Arabidopsis thaliana: one gene and its partners. The protein of the gene in region 2 interacts with the protein of the main gene of each other region in a pairwise test. Each region holds a gene or a part of one and is shown on either strand. Other genes may lie near its edges.

Evidence for each region.
Region 1: the proteins of WIT1 (region 2) and WPP1 interact in a two-hybrid assay, tested with the Arabidopsis thaliana proteins (one study listed by BioGRID).
Region 3: the proteins of WIT1 (region 2) and WPP2 interact in a two-hybrid assay, tested with the Arabidopsis thaliana proteins (one study listed by BioGRID).

What each region holds. Positions count from the first base shown.
Region 1 is NC_003076.8:17,285,041-17,295,059, reverse strand, and holds WPP1 (WPP domain protein 1), read left to right. Parts: upstream 1-5,101; 5' UTR 5,102-5,333; coding exon 5,334-5,801; 3' UTR 5,802-6,095; downstream 6,096-10,019. Other genes in the region: CYCA3;1 (Cyclin A3;1), read right to left, coding at 271-342, 428-562, 653-802, 882-915, 996-1,148, 1,236-1,462, 1,537-1,833; AT5G43068 (uncharacterized protein), read right to left, coding at 7,915-8,154. UniProt on the Arabidopsis thaliana protein: Regulates the mitotic activity in roots. Plays a role with HSP70-1 in facilitating WIT1 nuclear envelope targeting.
Region 2 is NC_003076.8:3,628,491-3,640,512, reverse strand, and holds WIT1 (WPP domain-interacting protein 1), read right to left. Parts: upstream 6,865-12,022; 5' UTR 6,736-6,864; intron 6,555-6,735; 5' UTR 6,543-6,554; coding exon 5,945-6,542; intron 5,844-5,944; coding exon 4,654-5,843; intron 4,554-4,653; coding exon 4,374-4,553; intron 4,239-4,373; coding exon 4,095-4,238; 3' UTR 3,900-4,094; coding exon of another isoform or gene 3,589-3,899; 3' UTR 3,579-3,588; downstream 1-3,578. Other genes in the region: AT5G11412 (RNA-binding (RRM/RBD/RNP motifs) family protein), read left to right, coding at 1-164; AT5G11410 (Protein kinase superfamily protein), read left to right, coding at 630-708, 791-1,017, 1,126-1,261, 1,345-1,481, 1,564-1,681, 1,769-2,082; AT5G11400 (Protein kinase superfamily protein), read left to right, coding at 2,454-2,535, 2,640-2,845, 2,948-3,086, 3,171-3,237, 3,391-3,500, 3,589-3,899; DXPS3 (1-deoxy-D-xylulose 5-phosphate synthase 3), read right to left, coding at 7,263-7,412, 7,491-7,775, 7,860-8,138, 8,228-8,484, 8,569-8,836, 8,982-9,250, 9,392-9,539, 9,653-9,820 and 2 more; AT5G11370 (FBD / Leucine Rich Repeat domains containing protein), read right to left, coding at 10,796-11,101, 11,614-11,694, 11,762-11,909, 12,004-12,022. UniProt on the Arabidopsis thaliana protein: Together with WIT2, required for the nuclear envelope docking of RANGAP proteins in root tips.
Region 3 is NC_003070.9:17,294,507-17,304,592, forward strand, and holds WPP2 (WPP domain protein 2), read right to left. Parts: upstream 4,324-10,086; 5' UTR 4,218-4,323; coding exon 3,675-4,217; 3' UTR 3,325-3,674; downstream 1-3,324. Other genes in the region: CYCA3;2 (cyclin-dependent protein kinase 3;2), read left to right, coding at 6,530-6,871, 6,953-7,185, 7,270-7,422, 7,508-7,691, 7,790-7,924, 8,007-8,078; CYCA3;3 (Cyclin A3;3), read left to right, coding at 9,170-9,373, 9,547-9,779, 9,883-10,035. UniProt on the Arabidopsis thaliana protein: Regulates the mitotic activity in roots. Plays a role with HSP70-1 in facilitating WIT1 nuclear envelope targeting.

The DNA of each region.
Region 1 (10,019 bases), about 14 Mb from region 2:
CAATCTTTTACGTATAGTTGCATCGGTTGGCTTAGGCATCAACCCATTAGATAGATTTATGGAAATGCATGGTTCAACATTGGTGTTGAACGCTTGAATTATAACCCAAACAAAAAAAATCATTAAGTAACCAAAATCTTTAAACATATATTAAGATCCTTTATCACACTAGTAGTCCTAAGACATGTACAAGCCAAAACACCAAGGAAAGAAACCAACGAAACCGCTACCTGGTTTTATACTATCTATGCCGATTACCAAAAGTTGTCTCTAAATGTTGACATCTTCAAAAACCGTAAGAGGCAGCTCTGGTGATACAGGCATTGTCGCTACACACTTGAACTGTATTGAACCAAATAGAAAAAGAAACATGTGAATCTCAAGAACATTGTTCTTCAAATTATCATTTAATAGTATTTAGGGTTACCTTATGCTGCTTGTATTTCTCTCTTATAGCTTCTAAAGCTCCACATTTTCTACTCAGATACAAGTCATGTATCATAGCCACACATTCTTTCAAATCACCCGCTTTGTATCTTGTGTATTCTTCCAACATCACATTCTGTTACATTCAACACCAGAGCTTTAGCTTCTTATATAAAGTAGTGAACACAGAGAATTAGAACAAGAACCGCTTTGCAAAATGCTTTACCCAGGGATGTTGTTTTGGACGGATGATGAACCTAGCGAGAAACACCGCTGAAGCAGCCACAGTAGACGGAAGAAACTTCACAGATTGATAGTCTAACATGCTCAACTCCGAAAGATAGCTACAAAGAAACTCCATCTGTAAATGTGACATCTGAAACAAATAAGAGAAATTCTTAGCAAATTTGATACTCTCTATAAATTGCAAATACCACAATTCAAAAAGAGCTTACTTCGAAATCTTCTTGTGCAACCCTTGTAAACCGTCTGCACAAAGCAAAACGCAATGAGACAATAAACTACACAAAAACATTACTCAATGAGCACCAAAAGAATCAGAATCAAACCTTAGAAACGTGTTGCTTGTAGGGTTTCCTAATTCAAATTGCAACGCAAGAAGTATATCAGCTTCCATCTTAACAATCTCTTGTTTCGTGTAAGTATTGTCTGTGATATAACAAAAGTCATCCACATTTGGAGGAGTAATCTCTTCATACTTTCTACAAATTTTTCAAAACCAAAATCCAAATAAACAAACCCACACAAAAAAAGAGAGATTCAAACAAACAAAACAAGAAAAAGCTTACGAAGCAATAAGCATTGAAGTAACTCCCAAAAGCTGAAGCCTTTGTTTATTAACAGTCTTGAGAGACAAGAATCTATCAATGTAAGAAACAGCGAGGTAAAGAGTGTCTGAGAGAAGTTTGTATTCTTCAGCAACTTCTACTAACCAATCAACCAAAACTCCTCTCATATTCGAAGTTACATCTTTCTGAATCTTCTCTATATAATCAACCAAAGGTCTTGACTTTACCTGAATTGTGTTAATCGAGAAACTAACTCAGATTGTGAAATCTAGAAATCTAGAGATGGGTTTTGTTTCTTTACCTCTAATTGACGAAGATACTCGAAGATTGATGTAACATAAGGACCACACATTTGTGGATCATCAGATCTTGTGTCAATGTCTGAATTTAAGGTTTCGATTGTCGGAATCGAAACTGATTTCTTCTTCTGTTTTGTAGTGGCTTTTCGAGATTTCTTGATGTTGGACAAGTTTGGAAGCTCTCCGAGTACGACTCTCTTCTTGTTGATTCGTTCTTTGTCTATTGCCGCTTCCATGGAAGCTTTTCTTTTTGTTGCTGCTCTTGTCATTCTCACGCAGTTCTCTTTTTCGTCGGCCATGGTTGATTGGATTCAAGAGAGAGGGATTGAGATCGAGATTAGGTGGATGAGAATGGAAGTGAGAAGGGTGAGAAAAAGAGAAGAAGCGAAGAGACATTTTTGTGATTTTTTGGAATAAAGTTTGGATTTTGGCGGTTTTTCCGAATTCTTTACAGGTTTTGATTTTTTGAAAAATGAAGCTGAATTGTGTTGGCGCGATGTTTTGATTAGAGTTTTGAGCTTCGAAATTTTCACCGGGAAATGTTAAATTTGGTATCACAGGAAGACCTAATTCGTAAACGAGGAAGATGATGATGCAAATTGTCAATGGGCTTGTTTATTGGCCCAATATGTCTTGCCCAATAGTAATGTTTTTAGGAAATATTCCCAAAAAAACCCGAACTATTTAAAATCTGCCAGAAAACTACCTGAACTTTTTTCGTTGTCAAAAAAATATACAAACTAATTTGGATTGAAAATAAAAAACACGATCTATTATTTTTTTCCGATTACCTCCCTTCGCCGTAACGACCGTTAACGGCGTTAACCAAATCGGTTAACATTTTCAATTTTATTTATAGAAAATTTCTGAAAAAACCACGACTTATTTAATATTTGCCAAAATAATACCCGAACTTTTTTTCGCTGCCAGAAATATATACAAACTAGTTTAAAGTTGAAATAAAGAGCATGATGTAGTTTTGTGTTCCAATTTCACTCACTTTATCGTAATGGTTACAAAAGGTTAACTAAATAAAAATATATTTTTTCATTTTCTTTACACGTGGTAAATAAGAGTGGCGATAAAGCCGATTTTATCCCCTTATAAACCCATAATCTATGTTGAACCTCTTTGAATCCTAGTGTTAATATAACACATCTATCCATTTCAGATATTAACCATAATAAACTGAAGAAATTAATAAGAAGAACTTTCGTTAACAAAGGGAGTATTTTTTTTTTTAATTTATTGTTGCTTACATCGAATCTAGATATACGATAGATATTTTAAAAAAATTTAGTAATTTAGGATAAAATATACCCATCAATAACATGATTTTGGTTGATATTACTCAAGATCTTAAGGTTTTAGAGGATTGCTTTAATAGTCAAGCTTTTTTAAGAATTTTTGTAAATAAAATTAACAATATTTGACAATTTGGTTAGGGAAATCGAAAAAATAAATATAGATCGTGTATTATATTTCCAATTTAAGTTAGTTTGTGTATTTTTATGACAACAAAAAAGTTCATGTATTTTTTTGGCAAATATTAAATAAGTTAGGTTTTTTTCCAGAAATTTTCTGTAAATAAAACTAACAGTGTTTGACGATTTGGTTAACGTCGTTAACGGTCCGTTACGGTGAAGAGAGGTAATTGGAAAAAAAAAATAGATCGTGTATTTTATTTTCACTCAAAATTAGTTTGTGTATTTTTCTGACAACGAAAAAAGTTCAGGTAGTTTTCTGGCAGATTTTAAATAGTTCGGTTTTTTTTTGGGAATTTTCCCAATGTTTTTAACACAACAATTTGTTTTGTCTTGCCCAATGAGATTGAACAAGACCCAAAAAAGAAAATTTTCAATTCTAAGCAACTGTTAAAAATATTTATGGCCTCATTGCCTGGTGGATAAAGCCGTTCATAGTGGTCTGATTATTGCGGAGAGAGTTTGTCCATCGCAGGGATATCATACATGTACAACCATTCATAGAAAATCTGAGTGTTGCAGGGAGAACTGTACCGTGGAATTGTTGCAGATTGTATGTAGTTGAATACCACCATCATATGACGTAATAAGAAAACAAAAACAAAAACATCTATAGCACTAAAAATAAAAAATGTTACAACAGAAACAAAGATTTTTATGGAATAAATTTAAGAATTCTTAAATTTGTATTCTGAAAAGAATCTATTTAATAGAAAATTGGTTGAGAAAATTTAGCTAAATTTGTTTTTTTTCCCTATCCTTATAAAACTAAATCTTTTCAAAAGTTTGGTAAACTAGATTTCATTTTTATAGAGATAATGTATTTTTATTGACCAATTCATATTAAATTCTACTAGTTTATTAATGTCATAAAGTTCGAAGCTATTAGAGAATAACGTAAATCTTCTAGCATATACTATCATAAATTCAGCGATCTTGAGTACACATAACACCGTGATTCTTCCATGTTCATCCCATGTTCTGGTTTATGTTATCATAAATTCAGTGATCTTGAGTACATAACACCGTGATTCTTCCATGTTTTGGCTTATATTATCATAAATTTAGTGATTTTGAAGACACATAACACCGTGATTCTTCCATGTTCTTCCATGTTGATCTTGAATACACATAACACGCAATATAACATTTATACATATAACGTAAATGTTTTACAATCATATACACTAGGTTTTCTAAATTCTTAAAAATTGAGTTGAACTCTTCACCGCGAAACCTCAATTTGACATTTTAATAATATTTTTTTTACGGTAGCGAAAAAGAGGTACATTGTGTATTATTTTTGACTTTGTATGATTACTTTATATTTTTAAAAGTAAAGGGTAAAGTTTCAGAAAACTCTTACCAACATCGAAGAACTATTTTACTTGAAACCGGTTTTGGTAACTAACGACTCAGATAATAAAGTGAAGAACCGCATATTGGGTAATGATATTTCTGGAAAACAACTTTATACTAAACTCCTGATTATCCATGTGACTTTTACTAATCAGTTTTGAAACAGAACAAAAATAAGAGAACTATATCAAAAATAAAATAAAATATGATATCATCAGGGTCACGCTCAAGTCCAAGACCAAACTAGGTGAGGCTAGAACCTTTAATCTTTTTTTGATAGGAACAGAACCTTTAATCTTCCTTACAAATTACGGCGAATGCAAGGTTGAAGACCATCAAATAAGGCATCAAAATACCTTGGGGGAAAGCAAATACATATGAATTTGATTCCTGAACCGTGCTCAATACCGTGTTCATACATCAACATTTAAATTTGATTCATAATCGTTTGCATTTCACACTCTAGTCAAAGAACTTCTTAATATTACATCCAATCTTTGAGCCATTGCTCGTAAAATGCTCTATATCTTGGTATGACAAAGCAAGGTCACGTTTTGGTTGCCACAACAAATTAAAATCACTAAGATCTTATACTAGTTCTTCTTGCAAATATCGTACAACATGATGAACCACGCTCTTCATCTCTGTATGACAAAGGCAAGGTGTCTAACTCTATTTAAATATGTATTCAATCTTTCAAACGTTTTGTCTTGATTTTTTGAACATAAAATTTTGAAAATGGGTGACTACGAAGGTTTTTTTCACATGAATATACTTTGGTTACCGATCGGTCTGATCATTTTAAAAATAAATCACGCTTAATGTAACGCACCACCCAATTCTTTAAACGACACCGTACCAAACCTCTCTTATCAGTTATCACCCACCCACCACAACATTACTGCCACAAATTTCAAAATCCCTAAAAAGCTTTCAAACAAATAAACTCAGAAAAAATGGCCGAAACCGAAACGGAGTCGATCACCACCTCTTCTCCACCGCCGATCTCAGAAACCGAAAACTCCACCACATTACCAACAACGGAGACGGAGAAGAATCCCAATCCGGTAACCATTTCCCTCAGAATCTGGCCACCGACTCAAAAAACTCGCGACGCCGTGATTAACCGTCTGATCGAAACACTGTCAACCGAATCAATCCTCTCCAAGAGATTCGGATCTCTTGAATCCGAAGAAGCTTCCTCCGTCGCGAAATCAATCGAAGACGAAGCTTACGCCATCGCTTCTGCCACCGTATTCGGTGATGACGACGGGATCGAGATTCTTAAAGCTTATTCTAAAGAGATTAGTAAACGTATGCTTGAATCTGTTAAGGCTAAGAGTAATGTGGCTTCTCCTCCACCGAAGGATGGTGATGGAATTGAATCAGCTGTTGATTCGAAGATTGATTCAAGTGAAGCTTGACGAGGCTTGAATATGGTGTTGTTCTCTTATCTCTAACTATCTTTTTATTTGTTTTAGATTGGTATGCGATTATCTATCTCAGAGTTTTGTTTGTTGTATAACTTGTGGATTTGGGACCTGTTACTAATATGATTTTGTGGTTGATTTGGTTTTGACGTTTTAATTTCCATGGTAATTAACTCGTTAATGGGATGATTTCGCTTGCTTAATCATGGTAAAAGAAAATTTTTGGATAATTATCTGTCTTAATCATATGGTAATTAACTCGTTAACTTGTGATTTAATAAACTCTTGAATTATGGTGATTTACTTGTTAATTGCAAGGTTTTACACTTTCTTAATCATGGTAATTAGCAAGGCTTGAATATTAAACAAAAAGGAAGGATTTGGCTGATTTTGCTTTCTTAATAGTGTTAGCAACTCGTTAAATACATCTTCATTTTGACATATGCGTAGTATTTTTTGTTTAGGTATTCGAGATCACATGAATCTAAACCATTAGAGAAACTAGACATTTTTGTAAGATAAGTAGTTTTAATTTTATGGTTTAGGTGACTATTGTGACAATGAAAACATATCTCCCCTTACTTTCGTTAATTCTTTTGGGTTAGAAGCATAGTGCGATTACAACTAATGAACTTTTACAAAATTTGAAAGTTTTTTTTTTTGGATTCAAAAACTGGAATTTAGTTGTTCATGTGCATTGGGCAGTCAAATAGTTTTTTTCTTGGAACCAGAAATCTGCCTTTGATATGTCCTCCTGACTCTTTCTTTGTCTTTACTCTTTATTGGTTTTGGAGCCTTGGAATTCGAGAGTTTAATTTTAAACCCCACTGTTTTTGTTCTTTAGTTACCGTTCCGGATTCAAATCCTTTTTTGGTTCCCGCTTGGAGTAAGCTAGACAAAATTCATTCATTCAAAGTCACTAGAAAGATAATACTAAAAGAATCAATATATCTATGGGAGTGCTTTCTTAAACTCTAGAAAAGATGATTCCATTTCCAAAGACAACATCAATAATATTCAACGAACATTTAGGAAAAATTTAATAAGACATGTATTTCATAATGGTTTTGCTTATAGCTTATTCTACTAAAAAATTAGAATAAACGCACACACCAAAGCTACAACAATGATAATAATATTTAAGTGCTTAATTTAAACATAACTTTAATAAATTTATTCTTATCATATGAATATAGTGTAATGAAAAATGGTTTGTATTTGTTATTTTTGAAACGAAATTATTTCATCTATTTAAACGTCATTGAAAACCTTACATATCAACAAACACTATACATGTAAGTTGTAACGTAATAAATTAATGGTGATTTATATTTTCGACAAATAAATATATTATGATCGTTAAAGTTAATGATTTATATTAACGTTTTAAATTTCAAAAAAACTAATGCAAGTAAGGATATTCAATTTAGTATAACAGATAGGTGATTAATTTTATGTCAGCTCAAAATTTTAAACCACATTATTTGATATGGGGTTCAAAATTCACATATATATGGTTCTAAGAAAAAAAAACTCACAAGGTCTAAATATTTATACATATAACTATATCAAATTGTGAAATTTTAAAAAGTCTAACTCACATTTTTTCTAGAAAAAAAAATATTTTATTTCTTGAAAGCTAGAAAAAAATATTTTATTTCTTGAAAAATCACATTTCTAACATTAGTTTTAATGTATATCACCACTAAATATCAATAAAACTATTCTTCAAGTGAAATTGATGGCCAAATCCGGGACACTTTTCTAGGCAAAAGGAATATCCAATGCTTCGGAAACCTTCTACAGACTTGGTTTATGTGGCATTAAGCTATATGCTTTAGGCTAATCCTTGTTTTTTTTTTTGGCAAGTATGCTCTTAGTTGGTTACGCTCAAATTTTGGTAAATAATTACAAACCCTCTCATTCCATAAGGATATTTCTATTTATATAGAAAAAGCTCACAAATCAAGACTATATTAAAAACTATGAAACAATACACTAATTAGTTATTTGCCTGAAAGAAAAATACTTTTCTTTTCTTTTCTTTTCGACGGGCTGAAACAAATCTTTCGATTTACACTTATCGACCAAAGGTGGTAGTTGTTGATCAGTGACCACGCCCTCTTCTGCTCGGCCCAGACGCTAACCGGTAAGCAAAGCTCTTCCCCAAAGGACGTTGACTTGTCGAGTTGTTCTTCACCTTCATGATCACCGACGATTGATCATGGCCTTTAATATCTCTCAACGCCTTTGATCGTAGAGCTCTGCAATCAACTCTCTCAAACATCAATGATGACCCCACCAATAAGAAGATCACAAACAACAGAAACACATTCTTCTTCTCCATCTCTTATAACTTTTTTAAAAAAACTTCTTTGAGTTCTTTCGCTAGCTTCTTCTTTTCTCTTTCGATACTTGTTCTCTTTTTTTTCTTTGAGATTAAGAAGAATGTCTTCGTGATTTTATATGTATATATGCGATTGTGTGTGCGTGTGTAAGCGAAGGGCATTATTTCTTGACCGAGAATGTTTGACTATTTGATTTTGTGTATCGCGTTTTTACATATTTAATTGAAGTCTTCATGTTTTCAATCTTTTACTATTTATAAATAAGACGGACAAAATAATTGACGTGTATTCATATTGCAAGTCGAACGAGTTTCTTCAACTACCACCTCCTTTGGCCACAAGGTATGTTTGTTGAACTCTGTGACTTTAATAAAAAGCTATATATGTTACCATTGTGATTTTTGAGAGCTAATCTAATGGTAATTTCAATAGTGTTTGTAAAAATTGTAAATATAAATTAGTAAATTTCTATCCGAAATATTAAGAAATATGTGGTAAAAAGAAAAAAGTAACAAAGGAATGTACATTCACAACACTAGTTGTGTCGCCTTTAATTTGTTGGTTTGTATTTTAGCCACCCTTAAGTCATGCGCCATGAAAATCTAAAGATTTAAGGAATATGGAAAAAAAGGCACTACCAAAAGTTTAATGATTTATTTTGTATTTTAGTTTATCAAAAAATGAAAATATTTTTATATGTAACACTAATACAGTGAGAGCGTTTAGATTAACATTGTTGTTGATTCTTTAATTTGAATATTTATGAAAGTAGGCTTTTTAAAGTTGTTGATTCAATGAACGCAGACTGGAAATAAGGACACGTAAAAACTATAACTGGAAGATATGAACCTAGGAAGTGAGACGGATATATGCGGAGGGGCAGATCTCGTTACGGCTTCTATCACCTATTTCTTCACTAAATGGTATTTGGTTCAAAATTATATAGAGCTGCCTAGAACCGTCTAGGAACACACTGAGACCCTTTTAAGATCGTTGAACTCATCTTAGTAACAAAACCGTTTAATTTTAACGTCTTAAAAAAAATCCTTACCATCCATAGCCGCCTAACGTACAAGCGCCTACCTAGACATTGCAGAAAATGCTTGAACTAATTAGTGTAGCTTTCTATCCACAATTAGTGAATGCATATGCGTTTTAAAAACCAAATAATTGATAAATGTAAACATTATTTTACCTGCATCACTATTACTATTTCATTTGGAAATAAAAAATCAGACATTTACATGCAGTATATAGATCAATAAAGCTTGGAACTATTGTCTCACGTTAAATCTTCTTGAAAGAATCAATCTCTTCTTCTCCTTTTTTGACTAAAACAAAAACTTTCGATTTGCATATCAAAATCTAACAAAAAGGAAAGAAAAAATAAACTTCAGCAGAGAAAAAAGAAAAAGAAAAAAAGAAAAGCAAAGAAAAAGAAGAAGTGGAAATTGTCGATCAGTGACAACGCCTCCTTCTGCTCGGCGCAGACGCTAACCGGTAAGCGTAGCTCCTCTTTGAAGGGCTTCTCGAACTGTTTTTCACCTTCATGGTCTCCAGCAAATTGATGTTTGTGTATTCATATTATACTATTGGATTTCTGAATGAGCTTCTCCAACTACTTGCTTCTCATCAAAGAGGTGGCGGCCTAGTGGTAAAAAGGGGTTGGTTCCCTTGTGCCCCAATATTCTTTAAATCGTAAAATCTAAATGTTGACCAAAGGCCCGAAACTCCCATCGGTTAAACAAAGAAAAAAAAAACTACGTGCTTCTCCACAAGAGATGGTGTTGAAATCTGTCTCTATGACTTTCATAAAAAGTTGAAAGACACATTTGCTTAGTAAGAAATCAAAAGTGGGAATTGA
Region 2 (12,022 bases):
CCAAGTGCAATCTTGCTTATATTGGTGGTAGGGTTAACAATAACCAAAACGCCCAACAACAACAAGTACTACCTATGTACCCAACTGGGACCAGTTTCCACCACCCCAATATCATACCTACACACCTTATGGTTATTGGACACCCCATGGCCCTTACTACGTGAACCAACCTGGTCCTTACTACTTGAACCAACCTGGCTTTTGACTTATGAGCCATCTCTTTCGCTGTTGTCTGAGACACTACTTGTTGTTCTATTTTCTGATTTCAGGCTGTTTAGTCTGCATGATTCTAATCTAATTATGTTTACTTTCTTATATACATTGCATCTCTTCTGTTCCAAACAGAGAACAAGAATCTAATTTTTCAAGCCCTGTTTATTCTAGAATGTTTCTAAATTTTGCCTTATAAGCATTTATATAGACATTGGCATAGTAAATAGTAAATACTGTGGATTCTTTTGGCTTTTGAATGTGAACTTGACTTTTTAAAGTGTTGAATTCTGAGACAGCCCAACCTTTTTTGAAGCTTCTTTCACACTTAAATCATTTTCAACCTCATAAAAAAACCTACAAGATCTATTAAAATATAAAAATCAAAATCTACAGATTTATCATCTTTATGATCAACAATGGGAAACTGTCTAAAGCCTCTCAAAGAACAACCTCCTTCAGCTTCTCCCAAGCCTCTCACCATCCCTTCAAGTTCAGGTACATCTCCGTTTTCAAATGCACTTTCTACTTTTGTTTACATATATAATAATATCTTAATACGTCTTATAAATGTAAAAAGTGGAGCCAGTAAAGGAGAATTTGAAAGAGTTTAGATTTGCCGAATTGAACAAGGCAACAAAGAGATTCAGAAAATACATGGTCATAAAAGGTAATGATAATGGGTTTACTCGAACATTCTACGAAGGCTGCATCAATGAGACAACCTTTGCTCCATCAAGAACTGGAATCACTGTTTCTGTCATGGAATGTTATCAAGATAATTCGCAGACTCTACAAGACTGGAAGGTAACCAAAATCTTACGCAACTACTATTTCTATCTCTTTGATCTTATTTATGTATGTTTTGTTTAGTTACTTATGCATCTGATGGGTACAAAAACTATTGAGTTGCAGGAAGAAGTGAAGTCTCTTGGACGTATTTCTCATCCCAATTTAGTCAAACTTTTAGGCTATTGTTGTGAAGAAAACAAATCATTCTTAGTTTTCGAATACTTGCATAAAGGAAGTTTGAACCGTTACATTTTCGGAAGTTAAGATCTCTTCTAATCAATGGGTCCATTTATAAAATCAGTATACTCAATATTGCCTTACAGTTTCATGTTTTCTCAACAGAAGAAGAAGAAGCATTACCGTGGGAAACACGGGTCAAGATAGCCATAGGAGCAGCTCAAAGTATTGCATTTCTACATTGGGTCAAGAACAGCGCGCTATATCGAGAACTCAGAATGTATAACATTTTGCTTGACGAGGTAAATGACTTTAGAACACTCTTCTTGCTGTTCTTATTGTTTATAACCTTACAATAATGCCTGAACTTATAAATTTCATCAGCACTACAACACAAAATTGTTCTATCTTGGATCAAAGAAACTATGTTTGTTAGAAGAAAGCGTGACGACTGCATTCATAGGAAGAACTGTATATATACCTCCTGAATATGTAATCTCAGGTACACCAAAATCTTAAGTTTTGTTAACGAACACTCTAATTAATCTTTCGTGGTTCGATGTTTAAGACAGTTGTGTAATGTTCTTAGGTCATTTGGGAACGAAGAGTGATGTGTATACATTTGGTGTGATATTGTTAGAGATTTTAACTGGTTTGAAAGCTTCAGATGGTAAAAAGAATGAGAACATGCAAAGCTTACATGTATGGACTAAACCTTTCTTGTCTGATCAATCTAAAATCCGGGAAATCATCGATCCTCGACTTGGGAACGATTATCCTGTGAATGCAGCGACACAAATGGGAAAACTCATCAAAAGATGCATCAAGTTGGACACAAGGAAACGACCATCGATGCAACAAGTCTTTGATGGTTTGAATGATATTGCAGAGATTAAAGATTAATGTGTAAGAGTTAATGAGATTTGAAGCTGAACAAGTTTGGAATAAAAGTTTGAAACAAAGAAGATAAAATCTCCTTCTATGTCGCATCAACTCTTTTCTTTCATTCTATAAATGAGTCCTAGAAAAATTTCCACAAACTTGCCTTATATGGATACAGACATACCCAAACTTGCCTTCTATGTCTTTTGCTTTGTTTTGCCTGAATGAGAAATTGAAAATTTCAAAGGGTTGAATTCTGAGGCCAGTCTAAACCTATTTTTTAGTAGCTTCTTTAATAAGTTACAAACTCTTATTAAAACCCTATAAAGATTTGTTAAAATCTTGAAGCCAGAAATCTACATATCTTTCTAATCATCTTCTTCTTTCCTTCAATGGGAAACTGTCTAAAGCATTTCAAACAACAACTTCCTTCAATTGCTCCCAAGCCTCTCATTATCCCTCCAATATTTTCAGGTATATCTCTGTTTTTGAAAGCACTATACTTTTTGTTTACGAATAATGTCTAAATACATTGTTCGATTTATACGTATATATGAAAAGTGGAGCCAGAAAACGAGAATCTGAGAGTCTTCAGATTCGCGGATTGAAGAAAGCGACAAAGAAATTCAGACAAGACAGGGTCGTAGAATGCGAGGATTACTCTGTTCGAAAATTCTACAAGGGCTACATAGATGAAACCACATTTGCACCATCAAGAGCTGGAACCGGAATCGCTGTTTCTGTCATGGAATGTGATAGTTCACGCTCTTTACAAGACTGGATGGTAAGCAAAGTCTGTTCATTTTTACGCAATATTGATACCTATCTCTTATTCCTTGTTAGTCTTGTGTACTTATCTGATGGGTACAAAAACTATGAGTTGCAGGCAGTAGTGAGGTCTCTTGGACAGTTGTCTCATCAGAATTTGGTCAATTTCTTGGGTTACTGTTGTGAAGACAACAAACCATTCTTCTTGGTATTTGAATACTCGCACAAAGGAAGTTTGGACAGTCACATTTTCGGAAGTTAAGATCTTTTCTAGCTAATGGGTCCATTCTAAGATATAGACAACTATTGCATTACCTATAGTTTTACGTTTCCCTCAACAGAAGAAGAAGAGGCATTGCCATGGGAAATACGGGTTAAGATAGCCATTGGAACAGCTCAAGGTCTCGCGTTTCTTCACTCGATCAAGAACAGCCCCCTAAACCGAGAACTCAGGATGCATAACATTATGCTTGACGAGGTGGTAATTGTTTTATTTCCATCCTTCTTCTCTCTTTTTGTTTATGATCTTAGAAATTAATATCTAAGTTTGGATTTCATCAGCAATACAATGCAAAAACTGTTCTATCTCGAACCAACCAAACGAAGCTTGGTAGATGAAGGTCTCAAGAGGGGAAGATTTACATACCTATCTCCTGAATGGGGATCGTTAGGTACACGAAAGCATTAACTTTCGTTTTACAAATTCTGAAAAATCTTTCGTTGTTCAACGTTAAGACAATTGTGTAATGTATGTGTTAGGTATTTTGGATATGACGACCGATGTTTACATTTTTGGTATGATCTTGCTTGAACTTTTAATGGGTTCCAAGGATAGAAAAAAGATTAAGGAAGAGCAAGGCTTAGTAGATTACTGGACCTCATCTTTCTTGCCAGATAATTATAAGATTGAGGAAATAATCGATCCCCGACTTGGGAGCGATTATTCTGCGAATGCGGCGACACAGATGGGCACACTCATCAACCGATGCACAGCGCATAATACAAAGAAACGGCCATTGATGCAACAAGTATTGGATGGTCTTAATCATATTGCAGAGATTAAGGACTAATGTGTAGAGAGGTACTAATACTTGACACTGAAAAAGATATTGTAATAACACAAAATACCAGTGTCGGGGTTAATTATATAGCAGATTTTCTGTAACTGGGTAGCCAAAAAGAACTAAAATATAATCTGTCATTGTAAACTATGACAAAGAGAGTACAAAACTGGAGACTGAGATTTTGGAAAAAGTTAAAGACTCTTACATGTTTTGCTGGGATATAACATAAGCTATCGACGATATTAAGATCACGAGTATTGCAACGAGAATGTGTTTGAACCTAAGAGCTCCAACATCTAATCTCCTTACACTTCCAATATCTGATTTTGAACCTGTTTCTTCCTCCTACAAAAAGGTGACCACGGTTACTAACGTCAAGCTTAGATTCATAATATTCGATTGTTGGACTAAAGCTTAATGGTATAACTCACTTAGATGCCAGCAAAAGATCAGATTTTTTGTAAGGTAGAATTATGTTACCTCTGGATTAGTTAATGAAATGAAGGTGGCTTGAAGTCTACTTCCTTGATGGCAAGAAGAAGCATTCTGGTCCGACTTTGGTGAAACTTCACTTCCATTGCCACTTTCCATATAACCAGTTTTTCCAACCTTTTTCAACTTCACCATCAACACACAATTCTCTCTTGACAGGTTAGTTATCTGCAAATAAGTCACTATATCTAAGAATCCACTGTGATGATGATGAAGCTACAAGGACATGAACTAACAGCGAACTGGGGTTTTACGAATATGGTAATACCTGTTTATGAAGTCGTTCTCGTTCAGCAGCTAGTTGCATGACCAGTTTTTTCATGATCTTGTTATGTACCCCGATATCTTTGGCGGTTCGCAATTTTCTTTCTTCTGCTTGCTGTAAATATTTCTCCCCTTCTTTCAATCTACCCTTAAAGAATTTCAGTTCTTCGTTGACCTCTGCGTTAGACTCAGATACCATGATCAACTTCTCTTCGGTAATGTCGGCCCTGTTTTCAGCCTTCAAAACTTTTGATTTTAGATCCTCGATCACATCCTCCATATCAGAAACAGTAGAATATAACAAGTTCTGCTTTTCTTTACTTGCTTCAACAGCTGCAACTGCATGTTCTAGTTGTAGATCTGAGTCCCTCAAGTGTTTCTCAAGCGATGCTAACTTATGTATAGTGAAGCCCTTGTCTCTGAAATTCCCCAACTCGTCTTGAAGCTCCTTTTTGCTTTCTTCTAGGATTTTGCACTTGGATTCTGTTTCCTCAGCCCTTGCTTCAGTTTTGGCTAATTTATCTTTCAGTTCCTCGTTGATACGTTCAAGATCTGTTATCAGAGCACCAGAAGTAGCATCCGCATCTTCTGTTTGAATCCCATATTCATTCAGTTGTTCTTCAAGGGAGCTAACTTTCTCACTTAATGTGGAATTCTCAGTGTTCAACAAAATCAATTTTTCTTCAGCCTCTTGCAAACTCTCTTTTAAGCCTTCTGTTTGTGCCACAAGAAAGTCAGCAAGTCTTGCATTGCTGCTATCAAGCTTGTGCAAGGCGCATTCCTTAGCTTCTAAACGTTCCTTTGAATCAACAAGCTTAGACTTCAAGTTGTCTTCCCGCTTAAAAGAGCCACTTAGATTGAACTGAAGAATCTGGAGTTTTCCAGACATCTCCTTTGACGTTCCCTTAAAGACTTCAGCAGCATTATCTGCCTCAAGCCACCTGGAGAACGCATCTTCGGTTACTTCTTCCATGTAGACAACATCCTGCTCAGAAGAATACAGTTTCATCTCTAGTTCTCGTTCAGTATTTCTTGATTCACTTAGTTTCTTCTCAAGTTCCATCTCCTTAGCCAAAGATTTCTCAAGCATCCTTAAAACATTCCTTTGCTGATCAGCAGTCTGCATATTGATCTTAGCGCTCAGATCACCAAACTCACCATCGTTTTGAGACACTGAAGTTTGCCCTCCAGACCCTGCAAAAACAAAGTTATATAGTATTCATTAAAGCCTGAAATTTTTCTCACCAAGTGATCATCACAACAAGGTTAAAAAGAAAGCTAGATTGGTCACTTACAGCTTCCTTGTTCATCCAAACCAGAAGATAACCTCTGAAAGTTAGAAGATTGCTTCTTCATTTCCACTACTTGTTCCATTAACTGACCCAAAGATTGTTCAGTATCATTCAACTTCCCTTCCAAATCCAAGAAAGCTTCTCCATCATGTTGAAACGGAGATATCATGACACGGGCGCTTTGAATCTCGTTCTGGAGAAAACCAAGAAGCGATTCAAGTTCTTTCACCTCTGAATTGAGAATTGAAGACAAGAGATCAAACTCCAATGCCTTCTCAGCAGAATCATCATCATCATCAACATTACTCGAAGGCTCTTCTTCATCTTCTTCTTTCTTAGAAACAAAAGACTCAAAATCATTTTCCCTCGTGCCGAGTTGCATAGTAAGAAGACTAAGATTGACCAATTTCTCAGAGACAAAAGCAAAATCCAATTCAACTTTTGTCAAAACTTCGCCTGCACTTGAAAGTTGAGGATTCATAACTTGCCCAGTAAGCGAGAGATCTTCAAAAAAGCTTTCTTTCGTTGAGCTTGGCTCAGGTACAAGGCTGTCGTTGTCATCGACAGAGACAGTTCTATCATGTTCCGTTTCTGTTTCCATCTTTCAATATAACTGCAACAGAGAAAGTATAATCACTTTTGTCAAGTAATTGAATTAAGAGATCGGAAACAATAGAGGTTCTGCTAAATCACAAGAACTTTTCGATTCCTGAGGAAATCTAGGTAAAAGTTCCGATTTTTTACTTGATTCCGATCGAGATTGAAGCAAAATGAATGAAAAGGAGAAAACTTACAGTTAGAAACGAACGACACGACGATTAAGATCAAAGACGCTTCCTTTAGAAGGAAATGATCGAGAGATACAGAGATCGAGAAGAAGAAGAAGAAGAAGGACTCGGATTTGTAATTAAACGAATATTGTTTGACAGTAACTCTTTACTAATTTTTTAAGATGCTTTTATTAAAAAAAAACTCGAGTATCGAAAATACACGTCTCTGTTCTATATTTTGTTTGTTTCCAGATTTGGGACATGCGACTGTTACACCAAATAGACTTGACAACAACAACAACAACAACAACAACAACAACAACAACAACAACAACTAACTGAGAATATGAAAACTGAGATACCGCCTAAAAAGTAATTGAATTTATTTTAGTCAATTCTCAACTCTACATTTACAATACATAGCAGATTGCTATTCCAAAATCAGGATATCAAATGGGCTCTTGAATTCAGAATGTATTATCTACAAATTCTGTTTAAGAAACTCCTCTTTAAGTCTCTTGTGAAGGTAAATCCCATATGAGAAGGTTAAGCTAGCTCATGAGAAGCAATGCTTCACGAGTTCGGCCCAAAAGACTCAAAGCGGTTGCTGCTATGTGATGTCCAGTTAGCCCTGCAAGAGCAAGCTGCTCCCTAGGCGATGCTTCTTCTATGTAGCCATCCGGTAACACAATGGGTCTCCACTACACAATGTTAAGAGCAAAATTACAACTTAAAACCAAAAACAGGTGAGAACATGAGGTTTTGATTTGTCTCTCTACCTTGATATTCCCATCGAGCTGGCCATCGAGGGCTATGAACTGCGCCACATGAGAACCAAACCCTCCAACACAGCCTTCTTCGACAGTGATAAGGAATTTGTGGTTCTGACAAAGATCACGCACAAGCTTGATGTCTAGGGGTTTGCAAAATCTTGCATCAGCTACAGTCACGTTCAAACCGAGTTTCGAGAGAAGCGAGTGAGCATGAAGACAATTCTGAACCATCGCTCCATAACCAAGTAAAGCCACATCTTGACCTTCTACGAGAACTCTTCCTCTTCCGATCTACTCTAATATGATAAAGCAGTTCTTGTGTCACCACGGTCTGTTTTTGCAACCAAAAGATTTGAAGATTAGATTGGAACTTACTTCAATTGGTAATCCAGTGGGGACAAGATAATTCATGTTGACGATGGAGCCTCTAGGGAACCGGAAACATACTGGGCGGTCAGTGACATAAGCAGCAGTTGCAACCATATTTACAAGCTCATCCTCATCGGCTGGAGCCATGGCTATCATGTTTGGTAAGGATGACATGAAAGCTATGTCAAAAGCTCCACACTGCACTGGACCATCGGATCCAACAAGCCCTGCGCTTGTAATAACAAATCGCACCGCCTTTCTCTGCCGATCTACATCATGGACCACCTAAAGAAACCATCAAAGACACTAAGGCCATTTGCTTGTAATAAAAACCTTTTAGAACAATTTTATTTTGTGCTAGAGGAAAGTGAAACCTGGTCATAAGCTCTTTGTAAAAAAGCAGAGGGAATAATACAAAATGGCTTGAGACCTCCAGAAGAAAGACCAGCAGAGAATGTGACAGCATGCTGTTCAGCCATTCCGACATTGAAAAATCTGTCTGGAAATCTCTCCTGAAATGTAAGAAGTGACGGATCCATCTCCATTCCTGCATGAACTACAACAATATCTCTATCCTTTTCTGCCTCCATCACCAAAGCCTCAACAAAGCAATCACTGTAAGTGCGTCTGTCTGAGACAAAAAAAAAAACTACAAAGTCAAGATTTTGGATAAGCATATATTCTCAGAAAAAATAACATAACCAGACAGATATACCTTTGACCATGATGTTCTTTACGGTTTCTGCATCTCGGTTTCCCTCTGTGATCACGTGGACCAACACAGGACCCATTGAATCTAGAGAAGATACTTCTCGGAGAACACAAACTAGATCTTCAATGTTGTGTCCATCAACAGGACCAATGTAGTACAAACCAAGTTCTTCAAAGAGAGTTGATCCTGTTGGTCCAACCATACCGCGAGCATACTCATCGACTTTGGCTGCCCATTCATACATTCCCTTTCCAATTCTTTTCGTCATAGCCTGTCAAAATCCACACCAAATTGTTAAACACCAAATTTGGAGCTTCAAAATATTTAGTCAACATTAATTGTTAAACACCAAATTTCCAGCCTCATAATTGTAAGCAACTACAAAGTTTCAAAAAGAGAGTATGGAAAATGCATACTTTGGCTAATTCTCTAAATTTCCGGAAAACTTTGCTAGATTGGATTTTGCTCATGATGCTAGAAAGTGCGCTGATGGATGCCTTGGATCCCTCCTCCATATTTGGATGTAAAGAGTGACGGCTATCATTCAGTATAACAATCATATTAGAATCCAAGTAACCAGCATTGCTCATTGCCTCATATGCTTGACCAGCAGTTATTGTCACATTGTCGATCACAGCAACAACCCGGTCCCTCTTTCCTTTCATATCTCGAGCAACCGCTAATCCTAAGAAACAGAAATAAACGTTCAGCATACCATATCGATAATAGCATTAATTAGCTAAGTCTACTTCTTGTTTTACAAAAAAAGTAAAAAGCTAAAACTATAGGCAACTGGACTCTTTAAAAAGGGTGACGAAATTATTACCGAGCCCAGCAGAAATACTGTTGCAGCCATGCCCGGTTCCAAAGGAATCATATTCACTCTCCAAACGAGAAGTGACCCCAGAAATACCACTGTTTTGTCTCGATGGTATTGCAGACCAACGTCGTGTCAAGACCTTATGTGCATATGTCTACAAAAGACAAAAAAAATGCTGTTAACACCACAAGAAACTCATCAAACCCTTGTACCAAAACATAAGAAAATCTAATCATCAATCCCCTGAATTTGAAAACATAAGCTTACTTGTTCCACAGCATCCCACAATATATTGTCAACCGGGGCACGAAAAACATAATGCAGAGCAAGGGTAAGCTCTATTGCAGCAAAGCTAGGATTCATAGACTTTTGGGTCTTCTTCCATAATACAGAATGAAGCTCCGTACGGATTTCATCAGCTAATAACTTCAACTCCTACGAGAAGAAAAACCATCCCCATTAAACTCAAGCCCTTCAAGTTATCATTCAACTACATATGGGTTAAGAACATGAAGAAATCCACCTTAACACTCAAATTCTTCAACTGCAATGGAGTTTCAATGCTGTCTAGTATTGGCGTCTCAAATTTCTCATCGCAGTATCCATCAGTGTTTGGCAAAGAACATACCCGAGCTCGATTTGAATATTCCTAGATATCAAACGCATACATTAGGAGATTCCATCGATGGCAAAAAAAATCCAAAATCCGCAATTCATAAACGAGACCCAGATTGAAAGTTTGGCACTTTAGTGTTATTGGCATAAACGAGATTAAGAGAGATAAACAAAGACGGGTCCTTTACCTTGTGAGTGGAGCTTGGAGCTGAGAATAGGCTTTTTATGGAAACATCAAGTTTACATGGAAGCGAGGAGACAGTAATATCTGAGCTCAGATTAAAATTGCCGTAAAATCGAGCTGATATTCCGAATTGGTAACCAATCGAAGCCGAACCCATTAAGAGAAAAAAAGCCTCGAAAATCAATTACAACGGACGAGGAAGATGATATAATTCTGAAGAAGAAATGAAAAAATTACAAGAAATTCGAAACAAATGCCGCGAAAAACGCCCAAAATGTTGACATGTGGAGAATGGAGAAGCTTTAGCGAGAGAGAATCCAGAGCAATTGGTAAAGAGAGAAGAAGAAGAAGAAGAGGAAGAACATTTTTCATTCAGATATAAATTAAAGCCCATAAAGAACCCAATTAGATTTTAGTTGGGCCTAATCCATAATTCTGATTATTATTTTTTTGTTGTTTCACATCGACATGTTTATAATTACGATTTAAAAATTTATCGTTGAACTTAAAAATCATCAATATATAAAACAACAACTTTAAACAGATCAAAATCCAATGATGTTATTGCAAGATTGTTAGACGAGTATTATATATATATAAAATATAATGATTCAAAGAAGATCGTTGAATTGTTTGAATACGAGGTCGAGGTTGCATGTGGTTGAACCACATGAAGACAATAACTCATTCTTCATCTCAAGCTCCTTTTGTGGATCCAACTTTGAAACAATCAAGATTCTCGCAGTCTTTAATCGGCAAGATTTTGCCAAGATATATGTCGCCAGACCTTTCTCTTCTTCTGTTGGAAAATAAGTTCTCCACTTGAAAGTTTGGAGACTCGACAACAAACATTGAGGGACATCAATCATTTGCTTCCAACAAAACAATGTATCCATACTATCTCCTACAACGTTTGCCTTACGACGATCGAAGAAATTTACTATGAGCTCCAAGTCACGTAGTTTGGGAGAACCTTTGAGTAAACAGAATAGTAACTTGGACCAATATGTTTTACTTATGCGCAGAGCCGTGCCTCAAGACAAAAGAAAGAAACATTCACCTACGTCCTCAAATTTTTGAAAAAAACTTAGAAGCATATATTTTTACAAGATAACTTTAGTTTTATAGGTTTAATATTGACAGATCACTTACATTTACCTTTTTTTTTTTTTTTGCGAAATCACTTACATTTACCTAAGTAATAAAAAAATAGAATTAAAAATGGAAAAATATTCACAGAATAAAGAAACAAAACAGAACAAAGCATTATAAATTTAGGTTAAAGCATTCGATATAGAATTGGTTAAAAAAATTAACTTTGAATCTTTCGTCATATGACAATTTATTTTTGTAAACACTTTTATTTCTATTATTATAAGCATCTTTGTTTGTGAATTGGGGCAAATTTCATTTGGCCGCCTCCGGCAACCATTGACCTTGGCACGGCTCTGCTTATGCGAAACTTGAGATGCTCAAGCTCGTTAAAGACAATATCATCACCATATAGATCCTGCACAAAGCAAGGTTTAGTAATCTAAATGATAAAGTGAGACTGAAGAGACATCAAGTAATATTACCTCATTATTGTTGACTTCTAAATATAACGAAAGACGTTTGACAGAAGAGATAGATTTGAGAAGCTTCTTGACATCATGAGATCCACGAGCGATATCGGCCTCCTCCAACTTAGGCATATTCACAATTAAATACGAGAGACTACTCTGACTAAAAACTTAGCTTTGAAATACTTCAAAGAAGGAGTGTCTATCACATACAGTATGATAACGAACCATAAATCTCAATTGATATAAGCAATGACGGGATGATAACGGCAAACT
Region 3 (10,086 bases), on a different chromosome or scaffold from region 2:
ATATCTTGCTCTTAAACATCCCACTTTTGTTCAAAAAAAAAAGAATGTATTTGCACAGAATGACAAAACCTTTCCCCAATAATTAAGTAAATGACAAGAGTAATTATACCTTTGTCTATGAATGTATCATATTTTGAACAATTTATTTACCTCTTTCTGTTAAGGAACGATGATGGTCTTCTGTTTTTTTTTTTTTGTTATATTTCTTATGTAGACATCCAAATTTACCAAATATAATTGAGTTAATTGTATGCAAGGCATCATAAAGTTAAAAACTTATAAGATCCGAAACATTGCAGAAGTGATTACGAAAACCGGCACTTCTTCCTTTGTAAAATAACGCTTCTACCCTTGTGTTATCATATGGAGAAAACAAATAAAATGGAAAAGGAGATTCGTTGATTTTGGAGGAGATGAATGATCAGTGTTGGAGTTGGAATTCAGCAGCTGATAAAGGAGGACTATATGGGCGATGAAGATGATGAATAGAGGAAGCTCGGTTTAAAAACCAAAATTGGAGATTCCATGGCGATATCTGATTTCGGATCACATGATTTTCCAAACAAAAAGTCAATTAGGTAATATTTAAAGAGAGATCAAGATGTCTTTGAGTTGATTTAAGATTCGATTATGGTTTTTGGATTGCTTTCCAATGGCATAACTATACAAATACACAAAATTTGTTTCATATAGAGCTTAAGACATCTTACAAATGACCAAATGACATAGAATATTACCCAAATGAAACTAAACCGGAGACTCCAATTATAATCGGTTGAGCTGGTTAAAACCATCAAGCTAAGTGGTCAAGGGCCTAGGATGATAAGGCCATCTACATTGGTAGATTCTCAAAAAAGAGTTTCTCATGAATAAAATATTGCTTATTTTAATTGAATTCAGATAAATTATTAATTTTAATGAAAAAAAAGAAAATCAACCATTCCTGAAAAAACACGTGGCCAGAAACGTCTCTCAGAGTTTCTGAAAACAGAGACGATTCTCACTTCTCTCTCTTCTTTTTCACCACTTTATATTATTTTAATAATAAGTATCTTTTCTAGATATTGCAGATGGAGGGACAAACGCTCCTCCTTCTCTCTATAAAACAAAGTCGCCGCCGTTGTTGCTAGGGTTTCGGTCCCAGTGACTTTTTCAGCACCAGAACCGAAATTTCTTGGTTTCTTCATGTTTAGTTTTTGTTTTCCTTCCTCTCTGACAGATCTGAACCTTTTTTTTTTCCAACGGTTTCAGATCTAAAATTTCAGATCTAAATCTACAATTTCTAAATTTTTCGTCTTTGGATTTTGCTGCTTGTTTTTGTCCCTTTTATGTGCAGCACCAGTTCTGGCCGTTCGAACCTCGGCAGAGGCGAGTTCTTTCACCGCCTTCAGAAGTAGATTTCTCTCCTTTGAAGATCTCGATCTCCTTTCTTCTTCTTATGACCATCATCATTTGGGTCGCGGGGTGTTTGTTTGTTCACCGCCGTTTGTGGTAAAGAGAGTCCTGGTTTTGTTGGTTTTGTTTTCCTTAGTGTGAATCTGTTTGTTTTTATGGTGATTTAGACTTTGTAATTTTATTTTTGATTTTTTGAGTTTGGATTCCGAGAAGATTGGTTCAGATGCGTGTATTTGTATGTTTGAGTTTATTTCCTCTTTAATTTTTCTTAATTAGATTTTTGTTTCTAGGAGTCTACATGTACTCGCCGGCTTATGTCTTTGGAAGGTTTGATTGCATTGCCGCCTATTGTATTCAGAACTTATTTCATCAATATAATTTACCATTCTAGTGAAGAAAAAAAAAATATTGTTGATGGAGGTGCTCTAACTCTTCTAATCCTAATACTAAAAACAAGATCGTTGAAAATTAAAAAGAATAATCCAATTAGAACAAAGGTACATCTTTCTTCTTTGGATCTAAAGAAATAATATACTCCCAAAAGTAGAATGTACACTTGGTGAATGGGACATGAAGCACATGTGTGGAAGCTAATATAGGAGTTTTTCTTCTCACGTGTCTTTTCCTACAAAGCTTCATGATCAGTTGATCACCTCTCCGCTTACACTTGTCTTAAAAAAAAAAAGCCAACGCTTAGCGTACCACACAGATTATAGACTTCTGAATTTTTTGTTGGCATGAAGTTGCTCTGCCAAAAAAGGGTCATCACCCTTCTAGCAAACAATATAATCTCAATCTCTTTACTGACCAAGCCTCCCATTTGTGATGATGGGGTCATCCAGGATGACAAAAATTGTTTGGCTGAGATCTTATCAATCAATTGACCAATAAGCATAGTTTCTATTTCACATTTTTTCAATCTGGTTATTCCCATATCCGCCTGCTTTTTGTAACTTATGAATAAAAGTATTAAACCAAAAAATTTCTGATTTCTAAACCTACATTTGATTTTATCTAATCTCCTTTCCACATCACAAAACAAAACTATGTAACTGTAGTTATAAGTTATTGGCTTACATATAAACTATGTATGTTTTTCTAAGTCATTGTTTTTTGGATTCTTGAATTGATAAAGAAATTCATGACGATTCTGTATGGAAGAACTGCGAACTTTAAAACTCTATTTTGACTGTAATCCCTAACCACTAACCAGAGAAGACTAGAGAGAATATCAAAGAATCAGTGAAATTGTTTCAGTTACTAAATTAAACGAATACAGAGGTCAATGAACTCGAAACATACCCACCTGAGCATAGGAAGGAAGAAGGAAGAAGGAGAAAATAGACTGGAATCATCCTCTAATTCTATGTAAAACAACATAAGAACAAACACTATCTACACATTACATAACTTGGTTTAAAATTCAACTGGCCAAAATCTAATCCAATAGAATAGGAATACAAAAACAGAGTAAAAACAGAAAGAAACCGCTATGACATAACCACTAGAAACTTGTAGGCAGTGTTTTTCATGTTCTGATGTAATTAGGTTCATCAAACTAGTTACTTGAGGATTTATAAAATCTAAAGATACTTAATCCGTGCTCCGACTCACCACAAGTTCATGTCATCACTGAAAAATCCAAAGAACTTTCAGCCTAATCCTAATGGTGTGTTCTAAAGAACTCCAAATCCAATCGACCAAACACTACACAACCTATAAGCCATAGAAAGCTGCATACACCAAAGTAAGACAAACTCACATGTTCCTGTCACCACTGAAAAGTAACAGAACTTCAGCTTAATCGTAATTGTAACCCAATTTAAAAAACGTTACATAACTCAATGGTAAGCTGCATAGAGACACTAATGGTCACCAAAGCAAAGATGCAAATGTGCTTAAAGAAACTGAACAAAACAATAAACTCAACACACCACTCTAACATTCACAAAGACATAACCCGATGATACTAACCGTAATTACACAATGAATGACACAAATCAAACGATGTGGTTGTTGAATACACATCAATCAAAGCAATCCAAAACACACATAGCAGAAAAGGAAAACAATTTACCAACAAAGATGCATTATTGTTAAATATCAAATCCCATAAAGCCAAACCAAGCAACAAAATGAAGACACTTGCACTCATATTAAGGAAGAAGAAACATCTTCAAATATGCATAATACCAAATCCACAAGTCATCATCATCATTACAAGAACAGCAAAACCCTAAGAGACAAGAGATTATAATAAGGAAGTAAAACCAAATTTCTCAAGCCTCACTCTTCTCCTCCTCTGAAGCAGGACCAGCATCATCTTTAGAAACCTCACTAGCATCAGTATTAGCATCCTCCACACTTCCATTTCCAACACTAGCATTAGATCTAGCCTTAACAGATTCAAGCATCCTCTTACTAATCTCTTTAGAATAAAGCTCAAGAATCTTAATCCCATCATCATCACTCGACACAGCATTCGAAGCAACACCATAAGCCTCTTCTTCGATAAGTTTCGCGACGGTGGTTGCATCGTCAGATTTAAGAGTACCGTATCTCTTAGAGAGGATTGATTCGGTGGATAAGGTCTCGATCAGGCGATTCAGAACGGCGTCGCGAGTTTTCTGAGTCGGTGGCCAGATTCGGAGAGAGATTCCTCCTGGTTTCTTCTCTGATTCGGCTTCTTTCGTCAGATCTGTGTCTTTTGAGGCTGCTTCTTGAGATGTTGGATCTGTCATTGCAGAAATAGTGGTGGAGCTTTCGGATTCCGGTGGCGGCGATGAGATCGTGGTGTTGATTGTCTCGGCGGTTTCTGCCATTTTCGAAGTTTAGGGATTTTGGAGATTCTTTGGAAGGATCAGTTATGACGACGGTTCACGAAATGACAAAGTCTTTAGAGTTTAGAGTTTAGACATTGATTGGTTTGGTTCGGTGTTATTATAAATAATTAAATAACCGAAAATTCAGGAAGTATTTGAAATTTAAACTTTGTGTGGTGGAGAAAACTATAGTCAATATAAATATTTCAGTTATAATCTTAAACTTACGTTCAAATCTTTTTATGAATTAATTACGGTTTTATTTTAAATTAATTACATAAAATACAATTAATAATAAAAATTTCAGCTAATTTTATTGATATCAGATGAAGATAATATCAGTATATAAAATACAATAAATGTTTTAAATATAAATGTTTTGTGGAAAATAGTATATATATAAAATCAAAATAAGTAGGGTAACTTGATTTTTTCTTACAAATTATTTTCAACTGAACTAATCTTTAGGTAATCCAAATATTATTTTACAAAATCTAAATAGGGTAATAATCATAAATGACGATAACCACTACATTCTCATTCGACTATCTTTTCAAGCGACTTTGTATTATCTTTGGAGAGAGTGGAATGAGAGGAAGCTCACAACAAGAAATGTCGGACCCATATGCAGCTTCTAGCCATGATCGAGAAAACCATTCACTCTCGCATCATGTCATTGTGTTACTACGAGAAACCAAAACTTAAAGATTGCTTCAAACTTTGTATGTGACGAGACCCCTACATTAGTCACTGCCAAGATCTGTCCTCAAATCTTTGATCTGTTTTGTTATGTCTTGTTTTTGTATATTGTCACATTCTCATTGTAAATTATTAGTTACCAATCAACAAATTTTACATCATAAAAAAGCAGTCAAGAGATTTTTTTATTTTAGAACTATTTGGCAATCAAGTTTGAAAAATATATTGGGTGGAGGATCAATTGAACATGTGGATGATGAGTAAAATTAGTTTTGAGTCTAGTTAAAAGGTGATCAAGGTCTATTATGATATTTGGTGAGCTTAGAAGAAATTAGAAAACATAATCGTTTCTCAACCGAATGTATATTCGCAACGTTTCTTCACCTTGAATTTGCCTTGGGTTGGCTCTGCTCTAAGGAGGTGTCTTTGTTGTTTTTGATTGTTTGTTGTGTTTCTTCACTTTGATAGGATAAAGGTTTGTTCCGCATGATGTTCCAGTGAGCTTTCAGTGTTGGATAGAAGCGGTGATTTGGTCTAGAATGTCTATATTATATTGTGGGAACTGATTTTTCTAGTTTTATGCTTGAGAATGGTGGCCTTTGGTGGCCAAAGGCGGCTTTTCTGGATGTTCGTAGATGCTCTTTTGCTGTCAGGTAAGTCTATTCTAGCGGTTTTGTTTTTGTGTTAGTTCTCAAAAAAACTATTAGCGTCTTTTTGTTTTAAGGTTTTGAAGATAGACCTCATAAAGAAATTGCTCGTGGTAACAATAATGAAGATTCAATTTTTGTTGGAGATGGGACAATTATACAAATGTCTGAGCCTCACGGTTCAACATTGATGTTCTTCATCGAACCTATGCTAGCTGCTTTCCACTTAGCTTTCATTATAGTTTTCGTAAGTTTATTTAGTTATAGATTTTGGTCTTTATATCTTCTTTGTTTTTTTCTGTAATCGTTTTCACAATTTAGACCATACTAAACAACATAAAATTCTCAAAATTATAAAATAATCACTATAAAAAAAAATAAAAAAGGATCAAAATTTTATTTAAAAAAACCCTAAAAAACTAGTTAGTTTTAAAAAGTCATGATCTTGTTTAAAGAAAATTGTACATTTAACAATTCTAAATATTTTATTAAAAAATATAAGATTAGTAAAGTACAAAATATCACAATCTTTTTTTTTTTTTTTTTTTTTGTCAAAGACAAAATATTACAATCTAAATTATAAATTTAACAGATGTCTTCGAAGGGACAAAAATGTCAAATGTCAAATTTGTTTCTGAATCGAACCACCACGGCCAAAACCCCAATCTTTACCGGTCAAAAACATTTTCAGGCAAAATCTGAAAACAAAAAAACATAAATCACCCGCCCAAACAAATTTCAGAGAATTTTCGCACCTCCAAAATTTTTTAGTTGACTCCCAAAAAACTCAAACTCCAAAAAAATCACAGAGAGCGCCACAATCAGAAAAAATGGCGCTTTTGCTCTTCCCTTTTTCTTCCCCTTCTCACCTTCTCTTCTTCCACTCATCCGATCTCTCAATCCTCTCAAATCTCAAACTCTCTCTTCCCATCACTCTCTCGCTCTCTCTTCAATCTCATCTCAATCATGACAGAGCAAGAGATCTGCGTGAGGGTTACAAGAGCGGCGGCGAAACGAAAAGCTTCGACGGCGATGGGTATTGACGGAGATCGGGTCAACAAGAAGAGAGTTGTTCTCGGTGAGCTTCTAAACGTCTCCAATGTCAATCTCTTGGCTAATCTCAATCAGAAGAAAGAAACCCAGAAGCCAAAAAGGAATCTTAAACCTCCTCCGGCGAAACAGATTAAGTCAGCTCCGGTGGCTATTATTGACCTAGAATCAAAATCTGACATTGATTCTCGATCTGATGATCCTCAAATGTGTGGACCTTATGTTGCTGATATCTATGAGTATCTTCGTCAACTTGAGGTAATAATGATCTTGTGTTTTGGATTTAGAATCATTTACTTAGTTCTTGAATTGGATCTGAATTGGATTTGGTGAATTCAGGTGAAGCCAAAGCAGAGACCTTTACCAGATTACATAGAGAAAGTTCAGAAAGATGTAACACCAAGTATGAGAGGTGTTTTGGTTGATTGGTTAGTGGAAGTTGCTGAAGAGTATAAACTTGGATCTGAAACACTTTATCTCACTGTCTCACATATTGATAGATTCTTGTCTTTAAAGACTGTTAACAAGCAAAAGCTACAGCTTGTTGGAGTTTCTGCTATGCTTATTGCTTCGTAAGTGTTTTATGATTCTTCCTCTCTTGTGTTTGTTGTCATTGTTTATGTATGGAAGCTAATGGAAGTATTGAAATGTTGTAGGAAGTATGAAGAGATAAGTCCTCCTAAAGTGGATGATTTTTGTTACATTACGGATAATACGTTTTCGAAACAAGATGTTGTGAAGATGGAAGCTGATATACTTCTTGCTCTTCAGTTTGAGTTGGGAAGACCAACGATTAATACTTTTATGAGGTTAGATTTGTGTGTATTGGTGATGATTACTTATTGGTTTGTCTTAGTTTCATTGTTCTGATTTTGTGTGTTGGTGTTTGTGTAGACGGTTTACTAGAGTTGCACAAGACGATTTCAAAGTTCCACATTTGCAGCTAGAGCCTCTTTGTTGCTATTTGTCAGAATTGAGTATATTAGATTATAAGACTGTGAAGTTTGTGCCGTCTCTGTTGGCTGCTTCTGCTGTTTTTCTCGCTCGGTTCATCATCCGTCCGAAACAACATCCTTGGGTAAGCATATTTGTCTCAGTCTCTTTCAGGTTTTAGTCTGCTGTGGTCATTGTTTAGAATGAGACACTAATGATTTATGGTTGTGAATATGTAAACAGAACCAAATGTTAGAAGAGTACACAAAGTACAAAGCGGCTGATCTACAAGTGTGTGTTGGAATCATACATGACTTGTATTTGAGCAGAAGAGGAGGTGCTTTACAAGCTGTTAGAGAGAAATATAAGCACCATAAGGTACTTAAACATTACACATTGATAAAATCATTTGAATAAGCAGAGCTTTCTTGATACTTAATGTTGCTTCTTCTCGGTACAGTTCCAATGCGTTGCGACCATGCCTGTTTCACCAGAGCTGCCGGTTACCTTTTGGGAGGATGTTACCATTTGATCTGAGGTTATGCTATCTTAAGCAAATGTTACGGAGCTGGATTACCGAATCTTGTTTCAAATAGTATAATGGACACAGATCTTCAAGTGAAGCTAGAAGAGTAAGAAATATAGAAGTGAAGGCAGGAGCAAATAAGTCTGCGTTATGTGAAGATGTGTGATGTATTATTGAAATCTCTTCTTTTTTATTTACAAAATTTTAGTGTGAAATTCGGAATAATATAATTTTATACAATTATGCAATATGATATAAGTATTTATGTGACATGATCTTATTTTGTTTAAGCATTGAGCCTACTACTGTATGTTTATACTTAATGAAAATTCCTAGAGGGCTAAAACTCTAGAAGACATTGTTGTTAATTTAAAGAAACTAATGAAAATCTCAAGAAACAAAAGAAAAGAAAAGATTGTCTATGAGATTGATAATCAAGTTTACTAAAGAGAGATTAAACTTGAGAAACAAGAAACAAGGGAGCTTTAGCGATGACTTGAAAAGTTTCGGTGTGAAGATCCAAAGACAAAACCATGGTTTCAACTTTCACCCTCGTGTGAACCAGTGAAGTGAGCCATCAACATACACAGGATCTTGGGTGTGAGAAACCAGATAAGGGGATGCAGGACAACGTACCTCCAAGTGTTGGTTGCAAAATCAAAAACTTCACAAGTTGTAGCGTTCTCGTTTAGGCCTAACTCAGCGGAATAAGCAAATCAAATCGAAATTATAATTAGGGTTCTACTTTACAATTTTCTCCAAAGTAAAATTACAAGTTTTAGATTAAAAAAAGATAATTATATGTAATTACTTTTTGAGATTTTTAATCAAGTAAAAAAAGGTAATTTCTCTAAATTAACACGTTTTGGAACGATTTTTTTTTTAATTTCCTTTTTTTAATTACTTGGGATTTCGTGTTCAACAAGTTATTGTTTTGGGCTTTGGTTTAATTTTCCTTTTTTTTTTAGTCTGTCTCATCTCTCATCTGAATTCTGAAACCTGGTTGTTTTAGGATAGAGTCTTCTACTCTATATATAGGACTTAGTGTAAGATTTATTGTTGTTCTTTCGAAGATGTGTTCTTGTTTTTCGATAAATATGGTGTCTAAGAAAGATAAACAGATTCATTCCGACCATAACCCTCAAGATGCTTCCCCGGTAGAGTGGGCGGAAATTCGACATAAGCTACTTGCGTTTCAAGAGAACATTCAATCAGGCTCTGACATTGACGCTAGGTCTGATGATCCACAGATGTGTGGACTTTATGTCTCAGATATCTACGAGTATCTCCGTGAATTAGAGGTACGTAATAAGATCTCCTACTTGCTCTGTTTTTGGACTTAGAACATTGACAAGTTTCAATAGGTCAATTTAGTATACTTTATCTGAAGAGTTTCTATGATTGTTCTCTGTTTGGACTTAGAATTTGTGGATATGTTCTGAAGATTTGTGTTTTTGGTTTGGTGAATATTCAGGTGAAGCCAAAGCTAAGACCTTTACATGATTACATTGAAAAGATTCAAGAAGATATAACACCAAGCAAGAGAGGTGTTTTGGTAGATTGGTTAGTGGAAGTTGCTGAAGAGTTCGAACTCGTGTCTGAAACACTCTATCTCACTGTCTCTTACATTGATAGATTCTTGTCATTAAAGATGGTTAACGAGCACTGGCTTCAGCTTGTGGGAGTTTCTGCAATGTTTATCGCTTCGTAAGTGTTTTTGATCCTCTTGTATTACTCTCTTTGCTATTCATTGTCATGTTGAAACTTACATATGGAGTGGCTTCTCTTTTTTGGCATTTGATATAAATAGGAAGTATGAAGAGAAACGTCGCCCTAAAGTGGAGGATTTTTGTTACATTACGGCTAATACTTATACGAAACAAGATGTGTTGAAGATGGAAGAGGATATACTTCTCGCGCTTGAGTTTGAACTAGGAAGGCCTACGACAAATACTTTTCTAAGGTTAGAATTGTGATGAATAATACTGACTTTTGGTTGTATCTTATGGTTCTT